Linked DNA regions of Lepisosteus oculatus. Each later gene encodes a partner of the first gene's protein in a complex. Links are inferred from orthologs where the notes say so. Each region holds a gene or a part of one and is shown in the gene's direction. Other genes may lie near its edges.

The links. The genes of interacting proteins can lie anywhere in the genome.
Region 2: strip2 (region 1) and strn4 share a complex: the UniProt entries of both Homo sapiens proteins name them as parts of the core of STRIPAK complex. The link is inferred for Lepisosteus oculatus from reciprocal best matches to the Homo sapiens genes STRIP2 and STRN4.

The regions. Positions count from the first base shown.
Region 1 is NC_090702.1:33,447,989-33,455,546, forward strand, and holds the start of strip2 (striatin-interacting protein 1 homolog), read left to right. Parts: upstream 1-4,551; 5' UTR 4,552-4,629; coding exon 4,630-4,731; intron 4,732-7,558. UniProt on the Homo sapiens protein: Plays a role in the regulation of cell morphology and cytoskeletal organization. Required in the control of cell shape. Calmodulin-binding scaffolding protein which is the center of the striatin-interacting phosphatase and kinase (STRIPAK) complexes.
Region 2 is NC_090698.1:474,725-482,618, forward strand, and holds the start of strn4 (striatin-4), read left to right. Parts: upstream 1-4,878; coding exon 4,879-5,148; intron 5,149-7,894. Other genes in the region: ribitol 5-phosphate transferase FKRP, read right to left, coding at 406-1,974. UniProt on the Homo sapiens protein: Calmodulin-binding scaffolding protein which is the center of the striatin-interacting phosphatase and kinase (STRIPAK) complexes.

The DNA.
Region 1 (7,558 bases):
CAGGAGTTCCAATATTGGTCAATAAGCAAGTCCTGTTGCTGTCTGCTTTTTATCCTGAACCTCCAGATGTTAGAAACATCTTTCTTTTTTATCTGTTTATTTGCTGTACCTTAAGTAACCCTAACAACTCGTTTGCATCCCACAGGACTATATTTCTTTTATAGGAGCATTCATTACTGTCACAAACCCTCCTCTCTCTCACAACAATGGGTATAACAATTCCATTTTATTGTAAGTATTTGCCTGGTGTTTCTCTGTTTCCATTCATGGTTATCTGCTTAAAGGTGAGTGACAGTTTTTTTTAGCGCTGCACAAATGCCATTGAAATATTGCATGCTGTTTTATATTAGCTTGTTTCGGAGTCTTTGTCTTCCTATAACCCAAGCAGACTTGTTTTTCTGTGACTCTCTTGATCCAGCCAGGAGTTTATGTCCAGTCTGCTAATGCAATGCAGTTAAACCATCCTAATGAGACACTCGGTATGCTTGAATGACAGCTTAGTTTTTCAAAAGCAAAAAATAATCTGAAGGTTAACTAGTCTTCTCGCAACAATGGAATTTTGACCCTCTCATTTTATTCACTTTCAGGTTTAGTTTTTAATAAGAAACTGTCTTAAATCCTGGCTTTTCCACTTCATCCTTGCCGTGACAATCCAGTACAGCAATGAGAATATGTAAATGCATTGAACCAGATGTGTCTATCAGATTGAAAAAAAAGGTTCTTTAATATTAACATTTTCCTCTTAGTTTCCTCTTAATAGTCATGGTCTTCTCAGTGCTGCTGTCTTTACAAAACCAACCCTCCCTTCTGGTGAAATATGTTTTAAAGCAAATCAATTTTGTTTAAAAAAAAGTCTGTGTTATGTTACCATTGTCTTGGAGGGAAAGAGTCTGCTGGTGTTTGGGAATGAGTGGTTTCTTACACGAGGGTTTAAATGGAGTGTGAAGATAATGAACAGACATTTTTCTCAATAAAAAGGCAAAAACCAGGATATTTTTCATTTTAATTTTCTTTTTCCTTTGTTTTCTTAAAATTATGGGGCCACAGGTTCATATTAGAATGAAGCAACCTTCTTAACTTTCAGACTCCTTGTGAAATACAGGCTTTAATCGTGTTATCATTTGAAGTGCTTTTAAAAATATGGGATGCGTGAAGCAATCTACTTTAACTACCCCTAGCCATACTAATCAATAATTCATTCAGAGGATAATCCTAAATGAATATGGCAGAGGAGTACCTTTCACTTGTCACTGCAGAATGGATTTTCACCGAGTCCCACAGCATGTGTTTGACAGGACATGGCTTTTGTTCCAATTTAATGTACACAGAGGAATTCACAACGTTTTAATTATTTAATTTCTTCCTCCGAAAAATCTAATATTCAGCAAGACCTGTGGCAACTCTTAATCACTTTCAAAACACAAACATGTAATGGTGCTTTATATCTGAGGAATCTAATCCAAAAGATTCCAAAATATACCAATTGACTGGCAGGAGAGGAAATAGATAGAAGTATATAGGGATATACAGTCCCTGGCAAGTTATTCAAATAACTTCCTACGGTGTCCCATTTTGTGAAATTACAAAATTCTGCATAAAAGTATTTTAAACTTAATTCATTCAAAACCTGCATGCTCAAACTGAATACTTCTAAGGGTTAAAATAGGTTACAGTAAACATCAGTAAAAACTAAATTCAGGGGAAAATTTCAAACACATGAAAATAATGCAAGCACAGGAGACACAAGCACCGGGTCACGGAGCTAATGCAAAGACTGAACACTGCACTGCCACTGAAGCAGGAATAAATGCCCAGCTGGAAACAAGGAAAGTGCTGTTAATTATGTACCAGTGGTATGGTCAACCTTCCCAACCATGTTGCCATAGGAACGGGTTGATTGGAAGATTGATTCAGCGATTGACTACCAGTTTGGAGTTATGGGAGCTAGAAACAGCACTTACCCGGGCGTGGGCATGACATATCTATGTTCATTCAGACTTGACAAGGTTCCCCATCCTTCCTGATGAGAACTACTGTTATAACATAATGCTTGATAACAGGGGTGGTGTTGCCTGAGTGATGCACTGTGCTGAGTTTGCACCAGAAATAATGCTTTACATTTAGATCAGAATATTCCAATTTTGTTATGAAATGCAACCTTTTCCCACATGTTTGCAATGTCACTGAGGTGCTTTGTTGCAAAATCCATGTGGGATTTGTTTAGTTACACACCCCTTTGTGGAGTGACTTGAATATTGTAGACCCATGGATATTTTCTCCCATCTCAGCCACTGAACTCTGTAGCTCTTTTGAAGTTGCTTTTGGCCTCAATGTGGTGATCCTAGAAAGTTTCCTCTTTGTCCAGCCGTTCAGTCTGGAGAGCCATTTTGGAGTTTGATCTTGTGTTGTGACCTAGGCAGGGTTCAGGCACCTTCCACTTCTTAAAGACTGATTTAACAGATTGAGGTGAGATTCTACACAAAAACTCAATGGGAATGTTTTGATCATTGAAAGGCTCGTATGTGTGTTTAATTCTGTGAATCAATGAAATACTTGCAACCAAATGAACAAGACAGGTTAAATGCCCTTATTTTGTTTGGAACCTTTCTAAGTGTGTTTATATATTGAAAAGAGCACCTTACCTGTCAATTCATCCTGTCAGTTTTCACATTAAAAGAACAAAATGGTTTTTTTTTGTGACAATCTAAGGATATCTCACAGAGCATTGTACTATTATTATTATGCATATACAGTACAGGTAAGTGATCATAATTGAACCTAGTCTGGTAAATACAGAAGCAATTATAGACACGTTCAAATAGAGAGGATGTAGGGGGACTCTTTATCCACTGGTTATGTCAGCATTCAACTGAATTTTCTGTTTGACTGGGAGTTTCTTAGTATTCCACTCCTATAAGACTATAGAGAGGAACATGTCATATACTTTTACGTTAAAAGAGTTTGCACAAACCATATACAATAATGGGGCAGAGAATCACAAAACAACTAGATGAAGAAAACCAAAAGCTGTGAGAAACTGTTTTCTTACAGTGCCTACTGTAGGCCAATATGCAACAAAGGTACTGAAAATCAATAACATAAAAAACAGATCTGGCATTAATAGTGCAGACAAAGTGAGAGTAACTTCAAATCCCTGAGGGACTACTGTGTAGCTGCAGCACAAAAAGGCAATCAGAATCAAGGGAGACCATCAGAAACTGACTGGTAAGATCAGCACTAAAATCCTGTTGACACAGTGGGATTTAATCCAGTGCTCTATATAGGTTTAAGAACATTAGCATGAGTGCTAATGGAGCTCTGCTGATGTACATCAATAAACAAGAGAGGACCATGCTCATTATCTATCTCTGCAAGAAGTGTACTTGAATGCTACAGTTATGCATATCGGCTCTTTGTAATTATCAATGCCATTATAGACATAGTTAGAACACCAGTGATACAGCATTAGAACAAGTAAGGTTAATCAAAATATTTAAACCCACTTACATGAAATTGTGTGAAGTGGATACAGGATTAGCATTAGTTTTCCCTCACGCTTCTCTAATCTCTAAGTGTCTCATTGTCATAATTATTGGATATGCATATTTAGATTTCTGTGGGATATCAGTAAACTCAATTATCCATATAATCTATAATCAGGTTGTATTGGAACAAACCTTTATAACAACAGCAGTGTAACAGTTCCAGTGACCTTGTATGTTTTTGGTCCTTGTTTTTATGATCGGGTGATCAGTTAAGACCTAACTCATAGACGTGCGTAATGAAAGATGACAGAAATCTCACGCAAGTCATGAAAAAACAAGTTTCTTATCTTATTGATAGGAGACCAATTTTTTTTCCACTGAAGTACAGAAAGTACTTTTTAATATGCACTGAAATACTGTACATATTATCATAGCCATGCTTCCGTAGATTTAGCCTTTTCACTATCGGAATCAAATTTACTGAAAATACGTGTCTGTACCTCAATAAATTGCATTTTGTGTTCTCCACAGGCGACTTCGTGTCTCGTTTAAAGCGCAAAAGGCAGCAACTTCGGACAGTTTACGTACTTCGCTTCTTGGACAGTTTACGTTGGTCGGATTTGACACTTAGCCCTGCTTAGGAAAATGAAACTTCACGTCTTTAAAAGGTCTTGTATCAAACTGCCTAAGAGCTTATAGTGCTGAAGACATCTTAAAATGTGTAGTAATGGACTGTCGAATGAGGTCTTCCTATTTGTAATTAAAATATTTCGTCTTCCATGCAAATATACCATTTTGACACAACGCCGCTCAAGTTCTCTCACTTCACCGTGCAGATTGTGACTGACATCCATCCCAACTCACAACTGCTGCCTGTCCGAGGTATGCGTGCTGAGGAATCCCATAGCCGCCCTCCAAGCAAACGCAGCTCCCTCACCTTGTATTTTATCGCTGACAGGCCGGCCGACCACTTCCAGCCCCATCTGCCGTAAGCCACTGCCCACAGTGGGACAGCCCGACCAATCAGCCCAGGGGGGACGGATTTCCTGAACTCGGAATCCCCCAGCCAGCTCCAATGTGACAGATTCGAGTAACTGGAGGCAGTAGGTGAGCAGCTGTGAGGACAGAGAGGGGCCAGGGACAGATGCAGGGTGCCGAAATGGAGGGATCTAATAATAACAGCGGCAAACAGAAGCCCCTTCCGAAAGTGAGAGAACTATTCAAGAACCAGAGGAAAGAATCGGAGGTAGGAGCTGATGGATGAACTAGAGTCTGTGTGTAGAAGGTACTGTGTGTGCCCGATAGTTTTTGCGTGCCCTACCTCTTTGGAAAGCGTGCTTAATCTGAGTTGATATGTTGTGACAGCTCAGACTACTGCTAAAAATACATGTGTGAATGTGCGGGCACACAATGTAATTTGATGGCAGTGTCTGGGATAATTTTGTAGCTGGCAGCGTGGCGGTATCAAGCAGAATGATGGTATGGATTTTAGAGCTGAGGACTTGTTAAACTTATTCCAGTATTAATTGATTAATTTTGAAAGGGAGGGCACTCCTTCTACATTTAAGATATATGCAATGAAATTATTATAAAATGTAAAAGATTTCAAAGAAAATCATGTATTTAAATTTAATCAAAACAATCCCATTTATCAACAATTCTGATATGTTTTTTTTTATTTTTCTCGGAATGGCATTCCGCCATTATAAATAAGCATAAAGAAAAAAAACATGCTTTTTTAGACAGAAAAAAAGCATACGAGAGCGACAGTACTGAGTTGGGATATATATATATTATACTACCATTATCTAAAAACAGTATCTTGTTAATCAAATGTGAACACGTTTGCTACACACAGTTTTTGGAAACTAGTATTACATCACCTCAGTTAAGAGATTCCATATAGCCTACCTTTCAATATTCCCATTTAAAGATTGATTTGTGTAGTGTACAATATCCGTTAAGCTGTTTAAATGTGTGAAGTGTTTATTCATTCTGTCATTAAAAATGAGCAAAATCAGTGTTGAATAAAATTAGACCATTTAAACCATCCAGTTATTTAAAACATTAAAGTGCAAAGGGAGACATTTTGTTTTGTAATGATACCAATTTATTTATTCGTACTGTTTTAGCATAAACAAATATTTGAGAAATGGGAGCTCAGTGTCCCTCTAGTCTCACTTTTCTATCACAATGAAGAGAAGATGCTGTCTGATGAAAGGTAAACACTCAAGGGCAATACTTTCATATTCCATATCTTTCTTTTATTTACTATGACATAGTGCTTTTAGTGTAGACAGATGAATCTGAAATTTTCATCTGTTTTCGCCATTCGCCTGCATTTTAACCGATGATCGAAGGCAACATTTTCCAGTGTATTTCTATACTAAAGCAAGTTTTTAAGTAAAACGTTATCTAACCAAATTTTACCCTCTTTTCCTGCAGAAATAGGATTTTCATTCTAAGTATTCTCCATGACCAATTTTTTAATCTTACCCTCTCGAATCAGAAATATTGGGACTTTATTTGAAGAAACCTCTTTAGATGCACACAGATTTGCAGTACTCTAGCTCTGAGGAAGGAAATGTTTTTGAACAGCTGTGTTATCAGTAACTTGAAAGCAGACTATGTGAGAGAGCCATATTAAAGCCCATGGGTAGTGTCTCGGTAAAACTTACCTTTTTCAATAGATAATTTTATTTTCTCAGAGAAATAACCATATGAAAAAAGTCTTAGGTTTTCATTTCAGAATGTATAAAGAGAACTGATCTCATTATGAACTGAGGTAATTATCTGTGGTAAACATGTTTCATGTTACAACTAGGAGCTAATACTGTTTTATTCTTTTCATGTGATTCATCTTATTTTATTCTTGTAATTTGCATTGTTATTTGTTATATACAGTAGAATAAGTAATAGTGACCCTAATTCCCAGATTTTCGTAAAGAAGGCTTTGCAGTGTGCAGTATGATTGTTTTTTGTGAAACACATTCTTAAGGAGTAGAGATCGATTTAAGACACACATATTGGAGAGAAGACAAACCTAATTCAGAGATATTTATATTCTTCTGTGAAAACTGTGCTGAGCAGTGATGATTTTAAGGCACCAAATCCTTCACTGCATCTTTTCCACTATGTAATCCTCCCCAAAAAGGAAGACATCTTGTCAAAATATGTTCAATTCAGTAAAGTAAAGAAATGGGAGATTTCAGAAATATCAATTTTCAGATTAACAGTGGAACATCTCTTTGGATTAAATGTTTTTTCAATGAAGTCATTTGCACGAAGCAGACCTAGCTAGTAAACTATAATCTAAGGATTTCTCTTATCATGCAGTAACTGTTTCGTTGTCTTCTGAAATCTCGACTGTCCACTGTTGTTGAAAAAATAATTTAAAGTGAGTTTCATTGATGGCAGTAAGACTCCTATTGAACCATTTAGATTTTAAGATGATGTAAGTATTTTTCTGTTAGCCAACACCTGTTTCTTGATATTTCTTGTGCATTAACTTAAATTAAGTACATGAACACAAAGAGGTGCAATGATATTGTTACTTGATCTGGTGTTTACAGTATTACAGTGGCATTTATTGTTAGATACTTGTTTCCTATTTCCATCGGAACAAGATTATAAAAGTGCCTGAAGAGTGAAATATGAAATGGATTCATGTGTTGTGTACTAGGAGCCTTCTTTACATCCACAAGAACATAAGAATGTTTACAATCTTATGAGAAGGCAATTTGGTCCATACAGCCTATGGTAGTTGGTAGTTAAGTGATCCAAGGATCTCATCCAGCCATTTGTTGAAAGAAGCCAGAATGTTGCCCTCAAAACCAGCTTGCAGCCCTTTCCATACATCCACAATCCTTTGAGTAGAAGTGGGTAGAGTGAGAAGTGAGTTGAGTAGAGTAGAAGTGTCTCGTGTTCTTGGCTGTACTTTCATGCCATACTGTCCAGAATGATCCTGGCGATTATGTAATTTATTATCAAGTTTATAATTCCCCCACTTTGTATTTTTTTTCCTCTTAACCAACCAAATGTTCTGTGTTTGGAAGTCCAGTATTATTTTAATG
Region 2 (7,894 bases), on another chromosome or scaffold:
CTCAATGATTTGGGAATAGTTTTGTGTAAAATTAATCATTCTACTTTGTCTGACAGCTAATGCGATTACTGGTTTATTTAATGTTTTTTTATTTTACAAATGTAAATATGCAGTCAATAAAATGTCATGAAGAATGAACTTCATCCATGGGAGTTATTACAGATATTCCATGGCTGGCCAGCATGTTCTTTCTAATTCTGAATTTGAAAAAAGGTAATAACCCAGTTCAGCACTGTAAGAATCTTATTTCAATCTGAAAAATCTGAGAGAACCTTATAAGAAAGGAGTGTTAACAGTTATATATTTCTCAGCCTCCTGAGAATCTTTTCAAGTCATTTGATGAAAGTAATATCAGTCACCTTGCAGTACTCTTTAAGACCACCACAGTCCTGCTTCTCAAAGTACTCAGAGTCTACTTCTGTCCAGTCGTTTTTTAGCAGGGTTGGGGTACTGGGGGTTTTCTATCACCCCTTCCCCAAACTTGAGTTCCAAGAAGCTACGGTAGTTGTTGGGTGCATAGGCGGTTATTCCGGCAAACTGGACAGGAACCAGGGGATGCAGGAAATGCTCAGGGAATTCCACATCCTGCTTGTGGTCCATCCAGGTGTCCTTGGTCATCACACCGTTGCGGGGATAGAAAGGCCAAAGGTCCACATGCAGGTGGTTGGCCTCGCTGAACTGAACCCGGTAAAAATCCCCCTCTACTGCCCTTTCCCACACATAGCCATTGGCGTCCACAAGGGAGCCGGAGTCCAAGTTCTTCAGGTAGTCGCAGTTGGGTACATCCTCCAGGTAAATGCCCAGGTCTACGTCAAAGTCCCAGGGAATAATATCTTGGTGGCGGGCAGCACCCAGGAGAGTCCCCCCTTCCAGCCAATAACGGACTCCTGAGCTCTCCAAGATGTTGATGACATACTTAGCTGTCTCCCGTAGGGCACGCAGACAGCAGGGGGGTGTCCAGCGCTCCAAGTAGAGATATTCGGGGGTGTCATCATGGATTGTCCCAAAGCATCGGGGCATCTCCTTGTTGCAACCAAACCATTGCTCCTTTCCATCTGGATTAATAACCCGCTTTATCCCGAATTCGCGTAGCAGCCGTGCCGTGTACTCCTTCAGGCGGCTGTCAGCCTTCCACTGATTGTGAGCTGAGCCGAAGAGAGGCCTGCGGTTCGAGCCGAAAGAGGGCCCCTCCAGAAGCTTGACCTTCCATCCCCGCAAGGAAGTCTGGATGAACAGAGAGGTCATGAGCGGCCGGGCAAGAGGGCTGGAAAGATTGAAGAGGTCTTCTGTCCGGGTCAGGACTACAGCATCCCCACGCAGGGCTGTGCACACACTGCCACTGCTCCCTGACGCTGCTGGGGTGTAGGTGGCTGTCCACTCCCTCAGGCTCACTCGTAAATGGAGGCACTGCACTGCCGACCGGGACAGGACTGGGGCCGCCACCAGTCGTACTGGCCCCCCGCCCTCCCCTTCCAGCTCTCTAACCAACCGATCCAACTGTCTCCCCAGGTCCAGCTCCACGCCGTCTGGCACAAAAAGGACGTACTCCGTTTGAATAAAGAACTCTGGCCGAGACACTTGCGGGGGCTGGTCTGGAGCAGGCTTCAGGACCACAAGACGCACCCCCTCCGGCAGCTGCAGGGGTGGGTAAGGGAGAGTGTCCGCCACCACCAAGAACGTTAGCTCAGGGCGATGTCGCAAGAAAGAATGTGCCACCTCCTGCACATAGTTCTCAAAGTCTTCAAACTCACGCAACAGAACTGTGACACCAGGGCTCCTGCTATTGCCACTGATACCCATGCCCATCCCAATACTCATCCCAGCTGCGGGCAGGGGTGCCTTTTTTGGCAAACCCTTCCCCGGCTCCCTGCGCTTCTCCATCATCTGCTGCTGGGCCCGGGACACATAGTAGAGGATCAGCAGGTTCAGAGCTATGGCCCCAGTTAGGAGGCCCTGGCAGAAGCTCACTCTCATCCTTCCTGCTCGAAGGCTTAACTGTCAAGCTGAGTTCTTTACATCACTCACGTCTCCTGTGTGTAGCTCTCAACCGCTTTAAGCATCACTGCTTCAAGTACATCTTCTTCACAAAATAATCCACTTCCACACCAAGACTATCCCACTGCAATGACTGATCTTTATTAATTTTTAGCAGCCCATATTTTTCACACTTTCCAATACTTTCTGTCTTTCATGTGTGAGTCTGATTGCAGGTCACCAGTGTTGGTGTGAAGGGCTTCATTTCCCAGGTCTGCCTATAGGTAGCTTGAATCAGAACGCCAAAGGACTGTGCTTCGTTTCAAAAGGGAAGACTTCATTTGTCCACAAAGTGCTAGTGGCTTCCTCCGGGAATACCTGAAAGCACAGAAATGACATGTGATAAAAGCTATAGAGTGTGGCCATTTCTCCTTCTGTTGTTTGTTCCTCTAAATAGGTATTCATGGGTTTTCACATGCTTATGAACCAGTATTGTCTAATTCTAATTTCTCATTCTCCTACAGATGTGATTTTAAATTTAAGTAAAAACCTAACTGTCAAAATGCCAAAGAATATAAAACAAATATATTTAATAATTAAAAAGAGGTTGTGTTTATGGTCTGAAAAACTGAAAACAGCTTTGTAAAGTTTTCAGACAGATCAGTGTATTTTGATTTTAAAACCTTTCTGCCTCTGCCCTTACCTGCAGTATAACACTTAGTTATATGTGTTTATGCCTGTGAATTAGTAGTATGAGCAATGTGCCTCTTAGATAAATACAATTGACTAAATTGTTCTGATTTTTTACATCAGCATTACCACCCTGTAGCATGATCCCATGACACCAGACCTATATTGAAATAGGACATCGCTAAGAAAAAAACAGATTTTGAGGCACTCCTCCCGCTGGTTCCAAATTTCCAAACCAGCACCCCAGTGGGTGACCAGGACTCCGTATTGTAGGATGTGCACTTTATCAGATGAGATGTGAATTTGAAGTCCTTAATACTTGCTTATTAACCACCCCATGTCAGTCTTCATAAGAACGAGAGTGTATAGACTTGCACTCTGGGTTTGTTTGTGCAGTCTAGTCTCCCTAAAGTCCCCTATGAATTTAACAGGCAAAAATCATTCTCATTTCTTCACCTTATGAGCCTGTAGTGGGTGTGCTGGCCATGCATCACCCAGGTGGGGTCTGTCCTGTATTTGAAGGATCTTTCTGGATGAACCACATGATGAGACCATGTGGCTGTGCTAGCAGTAGAACAGGCAGGCGAGTGGAGTGGATGGAATGAAGAAACTGTGATGTGGGCATCTATACCACTACTATCAGCAGGGTCCAATCTGTTATTCATGGAAAAGCACAGCTAGGAAAAGACCCAGGAGCAGCGTGGCGTGGCGTGTATTAGGTCACCAGAATTCCACTGAGAGCTCACACAGATTTAAACAGCACAGTTAAAGTAGAAACACATATATTTTATAAAACATGTAGGTTTTGTCAAAAACAATGCTGTGGTCAGGTCCCATACCTATGTGTTTCTCTTTTGCAAATTAGAAATACACAAAAGGCTGAATGTGTGATAATGAAGTGCTGCAAGTAAAGTGCATGGAAATTTATACTGGAGAGATGAAAAGAAACCATTTTAAACGAGTACCAATTAATGTGTGTATTACAATGTAAATTTAACACCTTGAATTTCTCTAAATCATCAATTAGTAATTTATAGGAGCTTATATAGGGAAATAAAATTTTAAGTTCATACTGACCAGGATTCTGTATCTACTTTGGCAGTTGTACACCTAGATCAACATTTTCTTGGAAACATGGACTGAGGCAGCAGTATTCTTGAATCTCCACGTTTCCTTGGTAACTGGAGACATATCAAAGTGTGCTGCTGAGATCTTCCGTTCCCATGGAAACCTCCCCCTGCATAAACCTGCGGAATCGATTATGAACTTCTGCCACTTGGCCTGAGACCCACAAGGGGGCGCTATTCCGCAGGGGGCAGCGATTGCACGCCAAACTATGACTCAATCACAACGTCCAGTTTTGTTTTCCATAACGTCTTGCGAACATAGAAACACGCAATATACATTTGTCATTTTCCTGTTGAATGAATCACAAACATTGACTCCCTCTATTAAAATACCGATGTGACCATTTGAAGTTTGTGCTGTGCGTTTAACTGGTTGGCGCATTTTTCTTTAAAAAGTAAAAAAATAAACACGCCAATATAGTAATTAGGGACAGCACGAGTAAAGCGCACTCGGGAGTCTATTGTACAGACTATGTATCATTACATTGTGTTAACCGTAAAAATACAGAACACAATGACACGATATTATCACTATTTCTTTTTTTTTTATGAAACGGGTTATCTGCTTTATGGGAACTACGACGCCCCTATTACCATGCGATGAAATGGGTTGAGATTGCTGAGCAATGCTAGTCTAGTAATGCTTGTATTTATAGCAATTGCTTAGTAATCCACGAAGCAAGGGTTTTACTGCGAGGGAAAAAAACGCCGTATAGACATTTTTACAGTAACAATATAAAACGGAAAATGCACATACGTAAAGAAGCGGGGCCCACAGAGAAGATTTTTTTCCTTTTTTCCAAAAACGCAATCCCCGAATTGTTATTCCTACGGGAGCCAGCGGCTTTAGTTAGGAAATGACTGCAGGAAACAGCTCGGCTCACAATTTGGCAGGAAGGTACCGCCCTGCCAAGCACTCGCCGCAGGAAAACGATGCAAGTCGACGGAGATCACTATTTGGCAGGCGAGGCTTGTGTGTGCGTGTGGTAGAGTAGCTGGCGGTAGTGATCTGAAAAGAGGAGGGAGAGGGAGGGGGGGATTATATTATCGTCTCCCTGTTTATCCTGGCGACTCCTAGTTCTCCATCATGGAGGCGGACAGGTCCTGTGGAGGAGCGGGCGCAACGAACCCGAGCCCAGGCGGGAGCGGCGCTGGACGGAACCCCAACGGGCCCAAAGCGGCGGCGTCTCCCTCCCCGTCCGCCGCGGGGGCGATGGCTGCCTCTTCCCAGCCAAAGGACATGCAGGAGGCAGAAGCGGGCCTCTCTCTGCCCGGGATCCTGCACTTCATCCAGCACGAATGGGGTCGCTTTCAGGCCGAGAAATACCGCTGGGAAGCCGAGAGAGACGAGCTGAGGGTAATCGCATGGGAACTTGAAAACCCGTTTCTTTGGGGGAGAAGCGCACGGCCGGCTCGCTGTCGCTCCGTGTAGGTCGGTCAATCAGAGCAGCAGCCGCGGCGGTGCGATTTCGGGCGGCGGTGGTCTGTACATTGTTGTGTGTCGTCCGACGGCACACGGTCAGCAAGCCTGCTCAACACATCGTCACCAATCGCCACATGAAAGGGCTTGCAAAATCAGGGCGCTGCAGTCCCCGCTCCGGTGTCGTGACACTGTTCCCTCCAGCTGTGCACGGGTGCGTGACCTCGGGGTCAGCTGGCACCCCGAAAACGGAGCGGGGTGACGTGTCCGAGCCGGGGGCTGCGGTGTAGTGTGGGAGGATCAGGCGGTGCTCCCGTCTGAACTCTCGTGAAAAAACACTTCACGAAGTTAACCTGGATTTTACAGAAAAGTCACTGAGTTTAATGGTTTTAAGCTTAAGCTCCAAAAGACTTTGGAGTTGGTTGAGTGCGTTTTGTCAAGTGGTGGTCTTTTTTAAAAAGTTTGTAAAATGACTGAAGCCTAATCCTTAAAAATAAGTATCTCGAAGGGCTTGTTTCCAGCACTGCCCTCCAGTGTACTTGTTTGCTGTGTGCAGTCGTGTTACTGAGAGCACTGGCCAGGGCCTCATGCAGATGGTCTCAGAAGCCAGTGTGCCAGCTCTGAATGCAATTGTCTGCTAGTTGTGTCCTGACATGTAGATTCCCATGGCCAGTCACCGTTTCCCTGTGGACTTGCATGTGTGTGTATTGACACCATGCAGCCTGGCAGTGCTCAAAGGACCAGTCGGCCCATCGGTAACACTGCGTGGTGACAAGGCGCTGAGCAGTCGATCCCACTGTCCCAGTTGCTCAGGCTCCAGGTGAGCAGGTACAGGCAAGGGCTGGGAGTGAATAGCTGTGCAGCAGGTCAGCCATCTCTTCAGAGACATTAGAACCAGTGACCTCAATTCGTCTTCAATTCCAGACTGACATAAAAAAATGGGGCCTGGCATTAACAATATGAACACTGGCCCAACTTCAGGCTACAGAGGCCTGAATAGTCCAGATTTCTTATTTTCAAGGTTTTTCTCAACATATGGTCCTCAACAACAATACATTCATGTTCATAATATTGTAACGCAACGGGGGCTCAGGCGGGCGCCCTTGCCGCATCTGGTCGGCCCAAAGTATAGGTGGCTCGAACCCGGGACTTCCGCGTCTCTCTGCAGCGACCTAGCCCCGTGAGCTAAAGAGAGATCTCTCCACAGCCCAGTAGCTGTGGTCCTGCTATCACAGGGAAGGGCGGTGACGTCACCCGCTCTGGTACGCCGGCTCTTACACACACTGCTTGTCGGCCGTAAGCGTTACACTGAGCCCCCGTTGCGTTACAATATTAAGGTTTTAAATCAGTTTTAAAGTATTTAGGTATTATAATATTCTGATTTTTAATAAATTCATTTTGCATCAAACCAACTATTAGTAGTAATACAATATTAGGTACCAAAACATAAATGTTGAATGATTTACCAGGGTTTAACCAAGACTAAGTAATGCCAAGCAACTCTGGATACAAGTTTGTTTTATCAGGGATATAGCACTTTCTACCTCTAAAGCTACCTCTTTTCAGTGTTCAGGTGTTTTTGTGTCTGTGTTTTAAGATAACATAATTTATTGAGCAAAAACTACCAGTATGATAGCTTGAGCATGTGACGAATTAGTTTGCTCATGTGACTTCACTGACCCGTTTGGGTCACTCCGGGTTGTTATCGGCAGTGAGGAAGGACAGTGGGGAGTGAGGACCAGCTGTGAGTGAAATAATCAGTGAGGTGTGCTGTTTGGAGGTGATAATGATATTGTAGTGTGATGGCTGCAGCGTTACTTTGACTGGTGATATTTGCCCACCAGCCCAACAGGAATTTAGTTTAATTTAAATATTTTTAGTTCTCTCAGAATTAAGACATTCCCGATTCAAAGTACCGTAACTAATTAAATCTTAACTTTCTTCCGTGATTAAAGAGCTAAATTTATCCATGTAAGCTAAGAAGGACTGTCCCCAAGATTATAGAGCATGGTGGTGCTGTGTCAGTTGAAGATGAGAATCTAAAGCTTTTTGCCTTTTTTTTTAGATAACCAGATAGAAAATCGTACCATGACATCTAGTATGGTAGCACTGGAAAATATAAAGTTACAGTCTAATCCTAGGAGCTGTATGCTTGCTTTTTTAAAATCTTTTTTTTTTGTAAAAAAACAAATGTCTAGTTAACCTACATACTAGATTGTTTCATATTCAGCCATAGGATCTGGCTTTGGAACTGGTGGACAAGTGGCTCTTTGGATCGGTAGTAATTTGACTTTGAACGTTCAGAGAAAGGCGAAATCACTGCAGGTCCCAGCCTGTGGTGAACCCAGGGCTAGATTCACCGAAGTAACGGTCTGCTCATCCCCCTGTGGGATCGGTAGCTCCTCGGGCTGTGTCCCTTAGATGAGTAACTTTCTGACACAGCAGATGGCCAGTACCTCACTGGCAGTACCGGTGTAAGCATGCTGTGTGTTTGGGACAACACCAGGCACAAAACAGAGCAGGAACAAACAGCAGTACTTGGTAGGGTGACCAAGGCCTGGTCACCAGAAAGAGATTGGGCATTCAGTTTGATGAAAACCAGATGTGAGTGTGATTCAGTAAGGTTCTGTTTAACAGAGGAAATGTATTATATATCTTTAGGTAGTTTTAGGCTTCACAGTGG